2 linked regions of the Anolis sagrei genome follow. The protein of the gene in region 2 purifies or fractionates together with the protein of the main gene of each other region. This does not show direct contact. Links are inferred from orthologs where the notes say so. Each region holds a gene or a part of one and is shown on either strand. Other genes may lie near its edges.

Region 1 (7,651 bases), about 49 Mb from region 2:
GCGCCTCACCTGACGGCCTCCACTTGGGCCTTCAGGACGGCGCCCCACACAGGACAAAACTAAGCGGAAAGCATTTCGACGCCCGCGCTGAGTAAGGCGTTTGGGATTGGCTGAAACGGACGCTCGCAACCATGTCGCCCTATCCCGGAAGCGAAGCAGCGCGTGGGCGGGGTCTCGCTATTGTGACGTCAAGTTCCCGCAACCATCCCCTCAGACGCCGAATGGATTGGGGTAACTCCGCCCCTTCAAAAAAAGGAAAACTCTTCTTTGCACCAACGAGGAACGGAGTGAAAGAGCAAGGAGCGTTTTGATTGGCTCGGCTTGGCAAAAAGAAATGCCTCACTCAGAACTCCACCCCTGGTTTTGTTTCCAGCCACTAGAAACGTAGCAGGCGGAATGTAGAATGCAATTGGGGAAAAGGGGTCGTCAGGCAGGGCCAGTGGCGCAATGGATAACGCGTCTGACTACGGATCAGAAGATTCTAGGTTCGACTCCTGGCTGGCTCGGCTAAATTTTTTTCTTCTGTGAAAAATTAATATTTTCATTTAATGAATCGTGTTGCATCAGTGTAGATTCTCTGGGAGTTCCAGTTTGGAAAAATGGATGGTCATAACCATTTTTCTCCGAAAATAAAAAACAGCTTTGCAGTTTGCTGGTTATATAGGAATTTGACATTTCAAATCCAAACCCTCAGATTTTTCTCCTAAACTCCTTCTACACTTCGACAATACATCCTTCTACACTGCCATATAAAATCCAGATTATCTGCTTTGAACTGGATTATATGTCAGTGTAGATATAATGCCCATTATCTGCTTTGAACTGGATTATATGAATTTTCAATTATATATAATCCAGTTCAAAGCAGATAATGGGCCTTACATGCGTTGAATTATCTACAGTCATATAATCCAATTTGAACAGCATTATAATGGTAAATGTAGACTCATAATGCAGATTGAACCTCATTGAACTGGAATATTTATTTATTTATTTACAGCATTTATATCCCGCCCTTCTCACCCCGCAGGGGACTCAGGGCAGATTACAGTGTACATATATGGCAAACATTCAATGCCAATTTGACTTACAACATGGATGAGAGCTAACAAATTGAAATTGAATCCAGACAAGACAGAGGTCCTACTAGTCAGTCGTAAGGCCGAACAGGGCATAGGGTTACAGCCTGTGTTAGACGGGGTTACACTCCCCTGAAGACGCAGGTTCGCAGCTTGGGAGTGATCCTGGACTAATCGCTGAACCTGGAACCCCAGGTCTCAGCGGTGGCCGGGAGAGCTTTTGCACAATTAAAACTTGTGCGCCAGCTACGCCCGTACCTTGAGAAGTTGGATCTGGCCACGGTGGTCCACGCACTTGTTACATCCCGGATAGATTACTACAACACACTCTTCGTGGGGTTGCCTTTGAAGACTGTTCGGAAACTTCAATTAGCCCAGCAGGAGGCAGCGAAATTACTCACCGGAGCGTCATACAGGGAGCATACCACCCCGTTATGTCAGCTCCACTGGCTGCCGATCCAGTTCTGAGCACAATTCAAAGTGCTGGTTTTGACCTACAAAACCCTATACCAGTGTTTCTCAACCTGGGGGTCGGGACCCCCAGGGGGGTCACAAGGGGTGTCAGAGGGGTCGCCAAAGACCATCAGAAAACAGTATTTTCTGTTGGTCATGGGAGTTCTGTGTGAGACATTTGGACTAATTCTGTACTTGGTGGGGTCCAGAATGCACTTTGATTGTAGGTGAACTATAAATCCCCGCAACTACAACTCCCAAATAACAAAATCAACCCCTCCAACCCCGCCAGTAGTCAAATTTGGGCGTATTGGGTATTTGTGCCAAGTTTAGTCCAGTGAATGAAAATACATCCTGCAGATCAGATATTTACATTACGATTCATAACAGTAGCAAAATTACAATTATGAAGTAGCAACAAAATAATTTGATGGTTGGGGGTCACCACAACATGAGGAACTGTAATAAGGGGTTGCGGCATTTGGAAGGTTGAGAACCACTGCCCTATACGGTTCCGGCCCAGCGTATCTGTCCAAACGCATCTCCCTCTACGTCCCACCTCGGAGTTTAAGATCTTTCGGGGAGGCCCTGCTCTCAGCCCCGCCTTTATCACAAGTGAGATTGGCGGGGACGAGGAGCAGGGCCTTCTCGGTTGTGGCCCCTTACATATGGAATTCACTCCCCGGGGAAATTAGATCATCGTCATCCCTCCTCTCCTTTAGAAGGAAATTAAAAACATGGATTTGGGACCAGGCGTTTGGGCAATCTGGCAGATAAATAAAGGACAATGACGATTGATAGGAATGGAAAATGTGGAATGAAGCTATGGACTCTGAGTTGCGAACGTTGAGCATAAGATTGTTTTTATTGACTGTGATATATATTGATTGTTCTTAACTGTTATAACTGTTTTTAATTGCTGTCTATATCTTATCTGTATTACTATTTTGTAAGCCGCCCTGAGTCCCCCCTCGGGGGTTGAGAAGGGCGGGGTAGAAGTACACAAAAGAAAGAAAGAAATAAAACATATACAGACATAGACAGAGGCTATTTAACTTTTTCTGGCTGCCAGGGGAGCTGTCGCTTTCATCGTCCATCTGTGACACTGATGAAGTACTTCCGCATTCCCCGCATGCTTTTTTGCTGGAATGCTTTGCTGGAGTCTTTTTTGTGGCCTCGTAAATTAGCTAATTTAGCCTCCCCACACTTTAAGGTGGTACCTAATTTTCCTACTTGACAGATGCAACTGTTTTTCGGGTTGCAAAGGTTGACAACAGGCTACACACAATTGGTTGGAAACCCACTCCAACCCGGGCTGGCTTCGAACTCATGACCTTTTGGTCAGAGTGATCTTAATGCAGCTGACACTCAGCTAGCTGCGCCACAATCCCGGTTATAATCCAGTTCAAAGCAGATAATGGGCATTACATGCTTTGAATTATCTACAGTCATATAATCCAATTTGAACAGCATTATAATGGTAAATGTAGTCTCATAATGCAGATTGAACCTCATTGAACTGGAATATATGAGTCTACCAGTGTTTCTCAACCTTCCTAATGCCATGACCACTTAATACAGTTCCTCGTGTTGTGGTGACCCCCATCCGTAACATTATTTTCGTTGCTACTTCAAAACTGTAATTATGCGACCATTATGGCTCGCAGTGTAAATATCTGATATGCAGAATGTATTTTCATTCACTGGACCAAATGTGGCACAAATAGCTTATATGCCCAAATTTGAATACTGGTGAGTTTGGGGGGGGGGGGTGATTTTGTCATTTGGGAGTTGTAGTTGCTGGGATTTATAGCTGACCTACAATCAAAGAGCATTCTGAACCCCACCATCAAAATTGGGCCAAACATTCCACACAGAAAATACTGTGTTTTCTGATGGTCTTTGGTGACCCCTCTGACCCCCCTTCGTGACCCCTCCTGGGGTCCCAACCCCCAGGTTGAGAATCACTGGTACACTGATATAATCCAGTTCAATCCACATTCTGTGGCAGTGTAGATGAGGCCTCCTTGTGTTACCATGATAGAGCCAAGACCAAACCCTGATCTCACAGTGTCTGAGTCCAACATTCAAACCATGACACCACACAGTCTAATCCCAGACATTTTGTGGATATGCAAAATTGTGGATAATAGTGAATCATTTTGGAATGAATGCCTTCTTGCCCAAGAAGGCATTTGTCATTTTTAAAGTTTTTGTCCTTTTTATTTTATTTATTTATTTACCTTACTTATATACCGCTGTTCTCAGCCCGAAGGCGACTCACAGCGGTTCACAACAAATACGAACAGCAAAAATTCAGTGCTACAGTATAGAAACAGTTAACAACCTAACACATTACACGACCCATTCACTGTCGTCTCGTCATCAAAAATATGTTCCAGATTCGTCATCCATTTTTCCATTCCAGTGTTCATTAACCAATCATTGCACTAATTATTCGAACGCCTGCTCAAACAGCCAGGTCTTCACTTTTTTGCAGAATACCATTAGAGATGGTGCTAGTCTAATGTCCGTAGGAAGGGCGTTCCACAGCCGAGGAGCCACCACCGAGAAGGCCCTATCTCTCGTCCCCGCCAGCTGAGCTTGAGAAGCAGGCGGGATCGAGAGCAGGGTCTCCCCGGAAGATCTCAAAGTCCTGGTGGGTTCATAGGCAGAGATGCGGTCGGATAGGTAGCTTGGCCGGAACCGTTTAGGGCTTTAAAGGCCAACGCCAGCACTTTGAATTCAGCCCGGTAGCAGATCGGTAGCCAGTGGAGTTGGCGTAACAGCGAGGTTGTATGCTCCCTGCATACAACCTTTTTAAAAAGAGACCCAAAGCTTAACAATACAAAAAAAATACACAATTGAAAACCTAAAACATATCCACATAATTAATCATAGGGTTATTAGAATAAATAATTAAATTCACTGATGTTCAAGTGCTATAGTTACAGTGCATTATGTGGCAGCATAGAGGTGAGTCTGAGATATACTGTTTCCTCTCGTTTCCTTTTCTGCGCAGGCGCTCTAGCCATTCTCCCTACTGTATTATGCCTTCCTATCCGACAGGTGGCGCTCATTCTCAGCCCCCGCCGCCTTTTTCTCGTTCTCCTTCCCTGGCCGGAAAGAGAAAAGAGGAGACGGAGCTTCCGCTCATTCATCGCGCGCGCCCTGTGTGTTGGGAGTGCGTTTTCTTCTCAGCGAGTAACGGACGCGGCCTAGTCTCCGTGCTCAATTTTTGGTGGTTTATTCCTCACTCGCTTAAGCATTTTCGGCCTACACTTTTGCCGCCATGAAGCTCGTGAGGTAAGGAAGCGGGCTTTTTGTCAGAAGCCACGCGGGCCAAGCCTGGGGTCCTTGCTCTTGGCCTGCAGGCCTTTCCTAATGGCTCCCCACTGAGTTATTTCCCATGAATTTAGCATGAATGGGCATGGATGATAATAGTGGGATTTCCCACCTCCTTCTATTTCTTGTTTCTTCCAAAATTGTGTCACTCTTCATAGCTCAGTCATATTCCAAACTCTGATATAATCTCATATTATTATCTATCTATATAAAAATGCTTTGTGCATAATGAGTACCTTAAAAACAAAAGAACGAATGAACGAAATCGCACCAAATTTGGCAACGAAACGTCTCACTACACAGGGAGTGACCATCACTCAAAAATTATGATTTTGTCATTTGGGAGTTGTAGTTGCTGGGATTTATAGTTCACCTATAATCAAAGAGCATTCTGAACCCCACCAAAGATGGAATTGAACCAAACTTGGCACACAATTCTCCCATGACCAACAGAAAACACTAGAAGAGTTTGGTGAGCATTGACCTTGGGTTTTGGAGTTTTTTATTTATTTATTTATTTATTTATTTGGAGTGTTTCTACCCCGCCCGTCTCAACCCCCTAGGGGGGACTCAGGGCGGCTTACAAAAGGCACAATTCGATGCCTAACAATTCACAAAATACAGTACAATATACAATACACAAATTTACCATATAATGTCAACAGTTATAACTAATTAAAACAATCAAACAGTATACTAGCAGCAATAAAATCATCTTGTGGTCAGTGTTCGCCAATTCATAGTTGTAGTTCAGCTACATTTAGAGAGCACTGTGGACTCAAAGAATAATGGATCTGGACCAAACTTGGCACGAATACTCAATATGCCCAAATATAAACACAGATGGAGTTTTGGGGAAATAGACCTTGACATATGGGAGTTGTAGTTACTAGGATTTTTAGTTCACCTACAATCAAGGAGCATTCTGAACCCCACCAATGAAATTGGGCCAAACTTCCCACACAGAACCCTCATAACCAACAGAAAATACTGTGTTTTCTGGTAGTCTTTGGTGACCCTTCTGACACCCCCTCGCAATTCGCCCCCAGGTTGAGAAATGCTGCCTTAAGGCCATCCAGTCCAACTCCCTTCAGCAGAGCAAGAAAACATAAAGCCCTCCTGACAAAGAGCCATCCAGCCATAGATGTAGATAAATATATATAATTCACACACACACATGTCTATGTCAGATATAGTACCATAGATTTGAAAGGGACCCCTAAAGAAGGACAATTAAATGTTGCATGTTCCAGAGTAGGCAAACCAGACAATCTCCACATCAACACTGGCAAAGAAACAGCAAGATATACTGTTTACCCACAAGCATAAAGAAATTACATATATTAGAAACCAACACTTTCTCATTACTTTATTTTCCAGATCACCAGACTGGGCCACAGCAATGCATGGCAGGGGACCGCTAGTATTATATATAATATTAATAAAGTTGTACTATAATATATTCTATATCATGTATACTATAGCTTACTATATAATACAATATATTATATAATACTAATAGTATAATGTACTCGTAGTGCATTAGTTATATTGTGGTATAATATACTACAATGTAATAATACAATAACTGTATATTATATATTACATGTAATATGACTAATATTGCAGTGTTGTGATATAGTGCAATATAATATATAATACTAATCTGCTATAATCGAGAAAGGCAGGGAGTTTCAGAAAAACATGTATTTCTGTTTTATTGACTATTCTAAAACCTTTGACTCTGTGGATCATAATAAATTGTGGCAAGTTCTTGGTGGTATGGGCATACCAAATCACCTTATCCCTCTCCTGAGGAATCTGTATAAGGATCAAGTAGCAACAGTAAGAACTGACCATGGAACAACAGACTGGTTCAAGACTGGGAAAGGCGTATGGCAGGGTTGTATATTCTCACCCAGCCTATTCAACTTTTAAGCAGAACACATCATGTGATGTGCGGGGCTTGAGGAATGAGGTGAAAATTGCTGGAAGAAACATTAACAACCTTAGATATGCAGACGACACCACTTTGATGGCCGAAAACAAGGACAAGCTGAGGAGACTTCTAATCAAGGTGAAAGAAGAAAGCGCAAAAGCTGAGTTGCAGTTAAACAAAAAAAACCAAAATTATGGCAACAAGAATGATTGACAACTGGGGAGTAGAGGGAGAAAACGTGGAGGCAGTGACAGACTTTGTATTTCTAGATGCAAAGATTACTGCAGACGCAGACTGCAGCCAGGAAATCAGGAGATGCGTACTTCTTGGGAGGAGAGCAATGACCAATCTTGATAAAATAATGAAGAGTAGAGACATCACACTGGCAACAAAGATTCGCATAGTTAAAGCAATGGTATTCCCCATAGTCACCTACGGAAGAGCTGGACCATAGGGAAGGCTGAGCGAAGGAAGATAGATGCTTTTGAACTGTGGTGTCCATACTTCAGGAAATAAAGCCTGAATGCTCGTTGGAGGGAAGAATAGTAGAGGCAAAGATGAAGTACTTTGGTTACATAATTAAAAGACAGGAAAGCTTAGAGAAGACAATGATGCTGGGGAAAATGGAAGAGAGGCCAACCAAGGGCAAGATGGATGGATGGTATCCTTGAAGTGACTGGAATGACCTTGAAGGAGCTGGGGGTGGTGACGACCAACAGGGAGCTCTGGCATGGACTGGTCCATGAAGTCACAAAGAGTCGGAAACAACTGAATGAATTAACAACAATCTGCTATGCTAATAGTACATTATATATACATGTATTGATAATATTAT
Region 2 (7,641 bases):
GGTATGTGGGCTGTTTTGTACTACTAAAGCTAACTGTAAACTGGGAGTACATCAAATTTGTAAAAGTAATGCCATTTGAGACCAATTTAATTGCCATGGCTCAGTGCTATGGAATCATGGGTTTTGTAGTTTGGTGTGACAACGGCATTCTTTGACAGAGAAGACTAAAGACTGGGTAAAACTACAACTCCCACAATTCCACACAGCCATATAACCCAGCACCCAGTCACACAGTACCTTTATCAATATCCCCTGAAAACATGGGAGGCATCACTACAAAGTACTAAAAACAAAATATTTTCAGTTGCAGGAATATCCCAGCTCTGTTCGGAAAATGAGGATATTCGTATCTCTGTATGTCCATACACCTGGAAAATATGGGATTTTTTATGTTGGTTTGTTTTCGGGTTATACACTTGTGCCTGTTATTCCCAGGCACTAGTACACGACCAAACCTGTCTGGCCAGATGGCCATGCAGCCTCTGAATGACAATAATAATGACAAAGTTCTGTTCCTGGCTTGAAAGTGTCAGTTCCTGTTTAATAGTGTAGTCTTCACTTTGAAAGTAGTGGTCTTAAGCGGCTGAGGGGAAAAAGGAAAGGGACTGATGCTGTTAGGAATGGTGGGAGTTGGAGTCCAAAACACCAGGAGGAAGGCCCAAGTTTGCCCATACCTTTTTAAGACAACCATTCAATATAAATATATTTATAAATATAAAGATGGTACTTCATCTTAAATGTAAAAGTAATTACTTAAATTATTTATTTATTTATTTATTATTTATTAACTTTCTCCCCAAGGGACTCGGTGTGGCTTACATGAGGCCGAGCCCAAACACAACAAAAGCAATAAAACATCAATACAAGCAATTAAAAACATAGACAATAAAGTACACAACATTATCAAAAAAGCAACACATCATTAAAACAGCGGGAAGGCCAAATGTAGAGTTAAAATTGGAAATAATGCTGGGCCATGAACGAAAGGTGATATTAGTGTTTGTGGAGGGCATACAAGCAGACTCAGGGAAATATAAAGTGCTTTGGAGGACAAAGTGCTATGGGATTCATTATACCGGGAAGGCACACTGGAACAGCCACGTCTTCAAGCTCCTCCTGAAGACTGCCAGGGTTGGGGCCTGTCTGATGTCTTTAGGGAGTGAGTTCCAGAGTCAAGGGACCACCACCAAAAAGGCCCTCTCCCTCGTCCCCACCAAACATGCCTGTGATGCTGGTGGGATCGAGAGCAGGGCCTCTCCGGAAGATCGAAGGGATCATGTGGGTTCGTATACAGAGATGCGATCACATAGGTAGGTGGGTCCCAAACCGTTCAGGGCTTTATAAGTAAGAACCTGCACCTTGAATTGGGTCCGGTAGATTAATGGCAACCAGTGGAGCTCCCTGAACAGGAGGGATGACTGCTCTCTGTAAGGAGCCCCAGTTAACAACCTGGCTGCCGCCCATTGGATCATCTGAAATTTCCGGGCCATTTTCAAGGGCAGCCCCACATAGAGTGCATTGCAGTAATCCAGTCTAGAGGTGACTAAGGCGTGGACCACCTTGGCCAGATCCGCCTTCCCAAGGTACGGTCGCAGTTGACGCACAAGTCTTAATTGTGCAAAGGCCCTCCCGGCCACCACCGACGCCTGAGCCTCAAACGTAAGTGAAGAATCCAGAAGGACTCAGCTTAAATATAAATATATTTATAAATATAAAGATGGTACTTTATCTTAAATATAAATATAATTAATTAAATAAATATAAAGATGGTACTTCATCTTAAATATAAATAAATAATTATAAAGGTGGTACTTCATCTTAAATATAAATAAATATAAAGATGGTACTTCATCTTAAATATAAATATAATTAAATAAATATAAAGATGGTGTTGTTCATTCGTTCAGTCATCTCCGACGCTTCGTGACCTCATGGACCAGCCCACGCCAGAGCTTCCTGTCGGCCGTCACCACCCCCAGCTCCTTCAAGGTCAGTCCAGTCACTTCAAGGATACGAAGATAGACTATTTACCTATGCTACAACAGCAGCGAGAATATTATTGGCGAAGTTTTGGAAACAGGAAGATATCCCTACCACTGAAGAGTGGTTAGGGAAATTAAGAGAAATAAGAGAAATTGACGAATTAACTTTTTTTTTCTTGAAAAAGAATACCGGGAACCCGATAAAGAGGACAGATTGGACTCTATATGAAAACTACGAAAAGGAAATAAATAAATAAGAGGAACATTATGAAGTGGATATAATGGAAAAATCATTGAGGACACAACACCTGATGGAGAGATGGAAGTCAATTTTTATCTTCTTTTTTTTCTTTTTTTTCTTTCATTTTTTTGTGTCTTTTATATTTTTGTATTTTTCTGGTGGACTTGGGGGTAGGGGGATGTACTTCTTACTTTTTTTCCTACTTTCCTATCATCTTTTTTAATATTCTCCCTCTTTCGATGTTATTCTTAAAATCTTAATAAAAAAAACTATTATAAAAGGATACCATCCATCCATCTTGCCCTTGGTCGGCTGCTCTTTCTTTTACCTTCCACTTTCCCCAGCATGATTGTCTTCTCTAGGCTTTCCTGTCTCCTCATGATGTGGCCAAAGCACTTCAACTTTGTCTCTAGTATCTTTCCCTCCAGTGAGCAGTCGGGCTTCATTTTCTGGAGGATGAACTGGTTGGATCTTCTCGCAGTCCAAGGCACTCTCAGAACTTTCCTCCAACACCACAGCTCAAAAGCATCTATCTTCCTTCGCTCAGCCTTTCCTAAGGTCCAGCTCTCACATCCGTAGGTTACTACAGGGAATACCATGGCTTTGACTATGCGGATCTATGTTGCCAGTGTGATGTCTCTACTCTTTACTATTTTATCGAGATTGGACATTGCTCTCCTCCCAAGAAGTAAGCGTCTTCTGATTTCCTGGCCACAGTCTGCATCTGCAGTAATCTTTGCACCTAGAAATACAAAGTCTGTCACGGCCTCCACATTTTCTCCTTCTATTTTCCAGTTGTCAATCATTCCTGTTGCCATAATCTTGGTTTTTTTTATGTTTAGCTGCAACCCAGCTTTTGCGCTTTCTTCTTTCACCTTGATTAGAAGGCTCCTCAGCTCCTCCTCACTTTCGGCCATCAGAGTGGTGTCATCTACATACTGAGGTTGTTGATGTTTCTTCCAGCAATTTTCACCCCAGCTTTGCATTCATCCAGCCCCGCACATCGCATGATGTGTTCTGCATACAAGTTAAAAAGGTTGGGTGAGAGTATGCAGCCTTGCCGTACGCCTTTCCCAATCTTGAACCAGTCTGTTGTTCCGTGGTCAGTTCTGACTGTTGCTACTTGGTCCTTGTACAGATTCCTCAGGAGAGAGACAAGGGGGCTTGGTATGCCCATCCCACAATTTATTATGATCCACACAGTCAATGAAGCAGAAATAGATGTTTTTCTGAAACTCCCTGCCTTTCTCCATTATCCAGCGGATATTGGCAATCTGGTCTCTCGTTCCTCTGCCTTTTCTAAACCCTGCTTGAACATCTGGCAACTCTCGCTCCATGTCTTGCTGGAGTCTTCCTTGCAGGATCTTGAGCATTACCTTACTGGCATGAGAAATAAGGGCCACTGTACGAAAGTTTGAGCAGTCTTTCGCATTTCCCTTTTTTGGTATGGGGATATAAGTTGATTTTTTCCAGTCTGATGGCCATTCTTGTGTTTTCCATATTTGCTGGCATATGGCATGCATCACCTTGACAGCATCATCTTTTAAGATTTTAAACAGTTCAGCTGGGATCCCGTCGTCTCCTGCTGCCTTGTTGTTAGCAATGCTTCTTAAGGCCCATTCAACCTCACTCTTCAGGATGTCTGGTTCTAATTCATTCACCACACCGTCAAAGCTATCCTCGATATTATTATCCTTCCTATACAGATCTTCTGTATAGTCTCGCCACCTTCTCTTGATCTCTTCAGCTTCTGTTAGGTCCCTGCCATCTTTGTTTCTTATCGTACCACTTTTTACCTGAAATTTACCTCTAGTGTTTCTAATTTTCTGGAAGAGGTCTCTTGTCCTTCCTATTCTGTTGTCTTCTTCCAGTTCCATGCATTGCTTATTTAAAAATAGTTCCTTCTCTCTTCTGGCTAACCTCTAGAATTGCGCATTTAACTGGGCATATCTCCCCTTATCCCTGTTTCCTTTTGCTTTCCTCCTTTCTTGGGCTAATTCCAGTGTCTCAGCAGACAGGGTACTTCATCTGAAATATAAATAAATAAATGTAAAGATGGTACTTCATCTTCAAAGAGCACATTTTTGAGAGAGACCCCTTTATGAATGTTATAATCTACCAGCATTATTATTATTATTGATATTTTATCTTATTGATATTTTAAAACGAAACCAGGAATAACAGTTCAAGGCTCTCAAATGTGTGAGAAGCATTTCTTCCTCTGGATTTTGGTTTTAGACCCTCTGACTTCATCTCTTTCAAACCCAATCCCCGCCTCTTTTTGCTTTGTGACTGGAACTATATTAGCAGCGTCACTCTTTCTCCTCAGAGCCGCTTCTCCTACAGCAAAGCTCTGGCGGAGGAATCATTTCAAGAGAACAGAAACGAGTCCCGGCGCGGAAGGATCCCGAGCATGCGCAGAAGGACGGTGGAGTAGGCCCCAGCCTGAGGCGGCGGGAGGCGCCGAGGAGAGGAGGAAGCGTAACGCGGCCGAGGACCCCTCCGCGGGGGAGAGTCGAGGGTGTGTGAGGCGCGGTCGGTTGTGGGGAGAAGGTGTTGTGGTGCTTTTGTGGCGGGGAATATGTATATTTATTCTGTTGTGTTTTTGTGAGAGGAAGAAGGCTCCTTTCGCCTCGGCCGGAGTGAGGGAGGGGCTTGGGAAGAGCGGGCGCGGGGCTTGGAGGGAGGCTTGAAGCAGAAGGGCCGAAGTAGGCCCCGGGGAAAGGCCGGAGAGGGAAATTGGCCTCGAGTCGCAGGGGAAGGCCTGCCGCGGAGGAGGGAAGAAGGGGCGTGGGGGCTCCGCAAAGGCTGCTGGGATGCCAATGCAATATTAATGGCCAGCGTTTTTTCCTTACAGCGGCCTTGCGAGGTAGGCGCCACTGCCGTACATTTAACTTTAGTGACGCAGATGAGGACCTGAAGCTTGAGGCCTAGGCCGCGTGGGGTTTACAACAGGCATAGAATCATAGAATCGAAGAGTTGGAAGAGACCTCACGGGCCATCCAGTCCAACCCCCTGCCAAGAAGCAGGAATATTGCATTCAAATCACCCCTGACAGATGGCCATCCAGCCTCTGCATAAAAGCTTCCAAAGAAGGAGCCTCCATGGGCAAACCATTCCTTTTTTAGACACTGGGTTGTGGTGAGTTTTCCCGGCTGTATGGCCATGTGCCAGAAGCTTCCTCTCTGACGTTTATGTATCTGTGGAAGGTCCAAGGTGGGAGAAATAACTCTTGGTTGCTATAAAATTTTCGGGCTGTATGACCATGCTCCAGAAGCATTCTCTTCTGACGTTTTGCCTGCATCTATGACAGGCATCCTCAGGAGGCGAAACGTCAGGAGAGAATGCTTCTGGAACATGGCCATTACATGGCTGTTTGGGTATCAGCCAGCACATCAACGACTTAAATCAAGAAATACTTTTCTTAGATCTACAGTAGGGCTGGGTAACCACGGAAGAATTTGTTTCTAAACTCGATTCGTTTTTAAGGGGTCCATCACGTTTCGTTTCTTTAAAGAATTCCGAAATTTTCCTTTTAAAATTTTTGAAATATACGAAATTTCGTAAATTTCGAATCGATTTGTTAATGGCGGACGCGATTGCACAATATGCTAAAAAAAACCTCCAAATATGCTGAAAAAACCTCCAAATGGGACAGGGGGAACTTCTAAAGCTTCCCTCTCCCTCTGTTGTTGACTGTTGGTGTGATAAAACAAACAACTATAAAACTTGCACCAGGCATGCGAAAATAATTTCGAAACAATTACGAAACAATTACAAAATAAGTTGAAAAATTGTTTCGAATCTATTTAACTCCTCACACTATTCCAAAATGGCTCAATATCGGATCGTAAGCTAATTTAAATACGAATTAATAATGAATTACGAAATTAATGAACGAAACCACCCAGCCCTAATCTACAGAGACACTCGCTGGAACACCTCAGCAAGCGAGAGTTCAAAAGTGGCAGGCTCAAACCCAGCACCTCAATCCGTGGGTGATACCAAATGAGAGACTCCCCCCTGGGCACACAGAAGACTGGGCGACTTGGAAGGCACTGAACAGACTGCGCTCTGGCACCACGAGATGCAGCGCCAATCTCAAGAAATGGGGCCACAAAGTGGAATCCACGACATGCAAGTGCGGAGAAGAGCAAACCACTGACCACCTGCTGCAATGCAACCTGAGCCCTGCCACATGCACAATGGAGGACCTTCTTGCGGCAACACCAGAGGCACTCCAAGTGGCCAGCTACTGGTCAAAGGACATTTAATCAACTACCAAGTTTGCAGAATTTGTGTTTTTTTATCTGTTTGTTTGTTTTGTTCTGTTAGAAATGTAACACAATGGTCTGGTTGCTGATGACACGATAAATAAATATGGCCATACAGCCCGAAAAACTTACAGCAACTAAGAGTTATTTCTCCCACCCCAGCCCTTCCACAGATCTATAAACTTCAGGAGATAATGCTTCTGGAACATGGCCATACATCCTGAAAAACGTACAGCAACCAAGAGTTATTTCTCCCACACCAGACCTTCAACGGATCTATAAACGTCAGGAGAGAATGCTTCTGGAACATGGCCATACAGCCTGAAAAACATACAGCAACCAAGAGCTATTTCTCCCACCCCGGACCTTCCACAGATCTATAAACGTCCGGAGAGAATGCTTCAGGCACATGGCCATACAGCCCGGAAAACTCGCCGCAACCCAGTGATTCCGGCCATGAAAGCCTTCGACAATACATGGTTCTCAACCTGGGGTCCCCAGATGTCCATAGACACCTCCAAGGTCATGTGGCCATTGTCCATAGACACCTCCAAGGTCATGTGGCCAGCATGACTGCATGGAGCGCTGTTACCTTCCCACCAAGATGGTACCTATTGATCTATTCACATTTGGATGTTTTTGAACTGCTAAGTTGACAGAAGCTGGGGCTAACTTATCCCACTCCCCAAATTCAAACCGCCAACCTTTTGGTCAGCAAGTTCAGCAGCTTAGCGGTTTGACCCACTGTGCCATCAGGCACGCCTTCGTCTAGTTTCCAATATACCTCACAACCTCTGAGGGTGCCTGCCATATATGTGAGCAAAACATCGGGAGAGAATGCTTCTGGAACATGGCCATACAGCCCAGAAAACTCATCGCAACCCAGTGATTCTGTGAATGAAAGCCTTCGACAACACTTTTTTTGACAGTTATTCTACAATACAAATATATTTCCGGAGGCCTTATTTGGAGACTTTTGGTTGTGTCAACATTGCCAAGTCCGAAATAGCAATAATAATATGGCTTACCAATAGTTGTCTGGTCATTGCCTTTATAGGTTATTGAGAAAGGCCTGATTCCACAGAAAGGTTTTAACTTGTGAGCAAAAGGCCAGTTACTTCCCAGTTCCTTTCCTCCTTCCTTT

The links. Proteins that work in one complex are often made in the same cells at the same time.
Region 1: the proteins of SNRNP70 (region 2) and SNRPD1 purify together in Homo sapiens (affinity purification with mass spectrometry; 6 studies listed by BioGRID and IntAct, counting the BioPlex papers as one, with this or other methods). This does not show direct contact. The link is inferred for Anolis sagrei from reciprocal best matches to the Homo sapiens genes SNRNP70 and SNRPD1.

What each region holds. Positions count from the first base shown.
Region 1 is NC_090026.1:77,913,233-77,920,883, forward strand, and holds the start of SNRPD1 (small nuclear ribonucleoprotein Sm D1), read left to right. Parts: upstream 1-4,644; 5' UTR 4,645-4,824; coding exon 4,825-4,838; intron 4,839-7,651. UniProt on the Homo sapiens protein: Plays a role in pre-mRNA splicing as a core component of the spliceosomal U1, U2, U4 and U5 small nuclear ribonucleoproteins (snRNPs), the building blocks of the spliceosome.
Region 2 is NC_090026.1:28,579,761-28,587,401, reverse strand, and holds the start of SNRNP70 (U1 small nuclear ribonucleoprotein 70 kDa), read left to right. Parts: upstream 1-4,624; 5' UTR 4,625-4,744; intron 4,745-7,641. UniProt on the Homo sapiens protein: Component of the spliceosomal U1 snRNP, which is essential for recognition of the pre-mRNA 5' splice-site and the subsequent assembly of the spliceosome. SNRNP70 binds to the loop I region of U1-snRNA.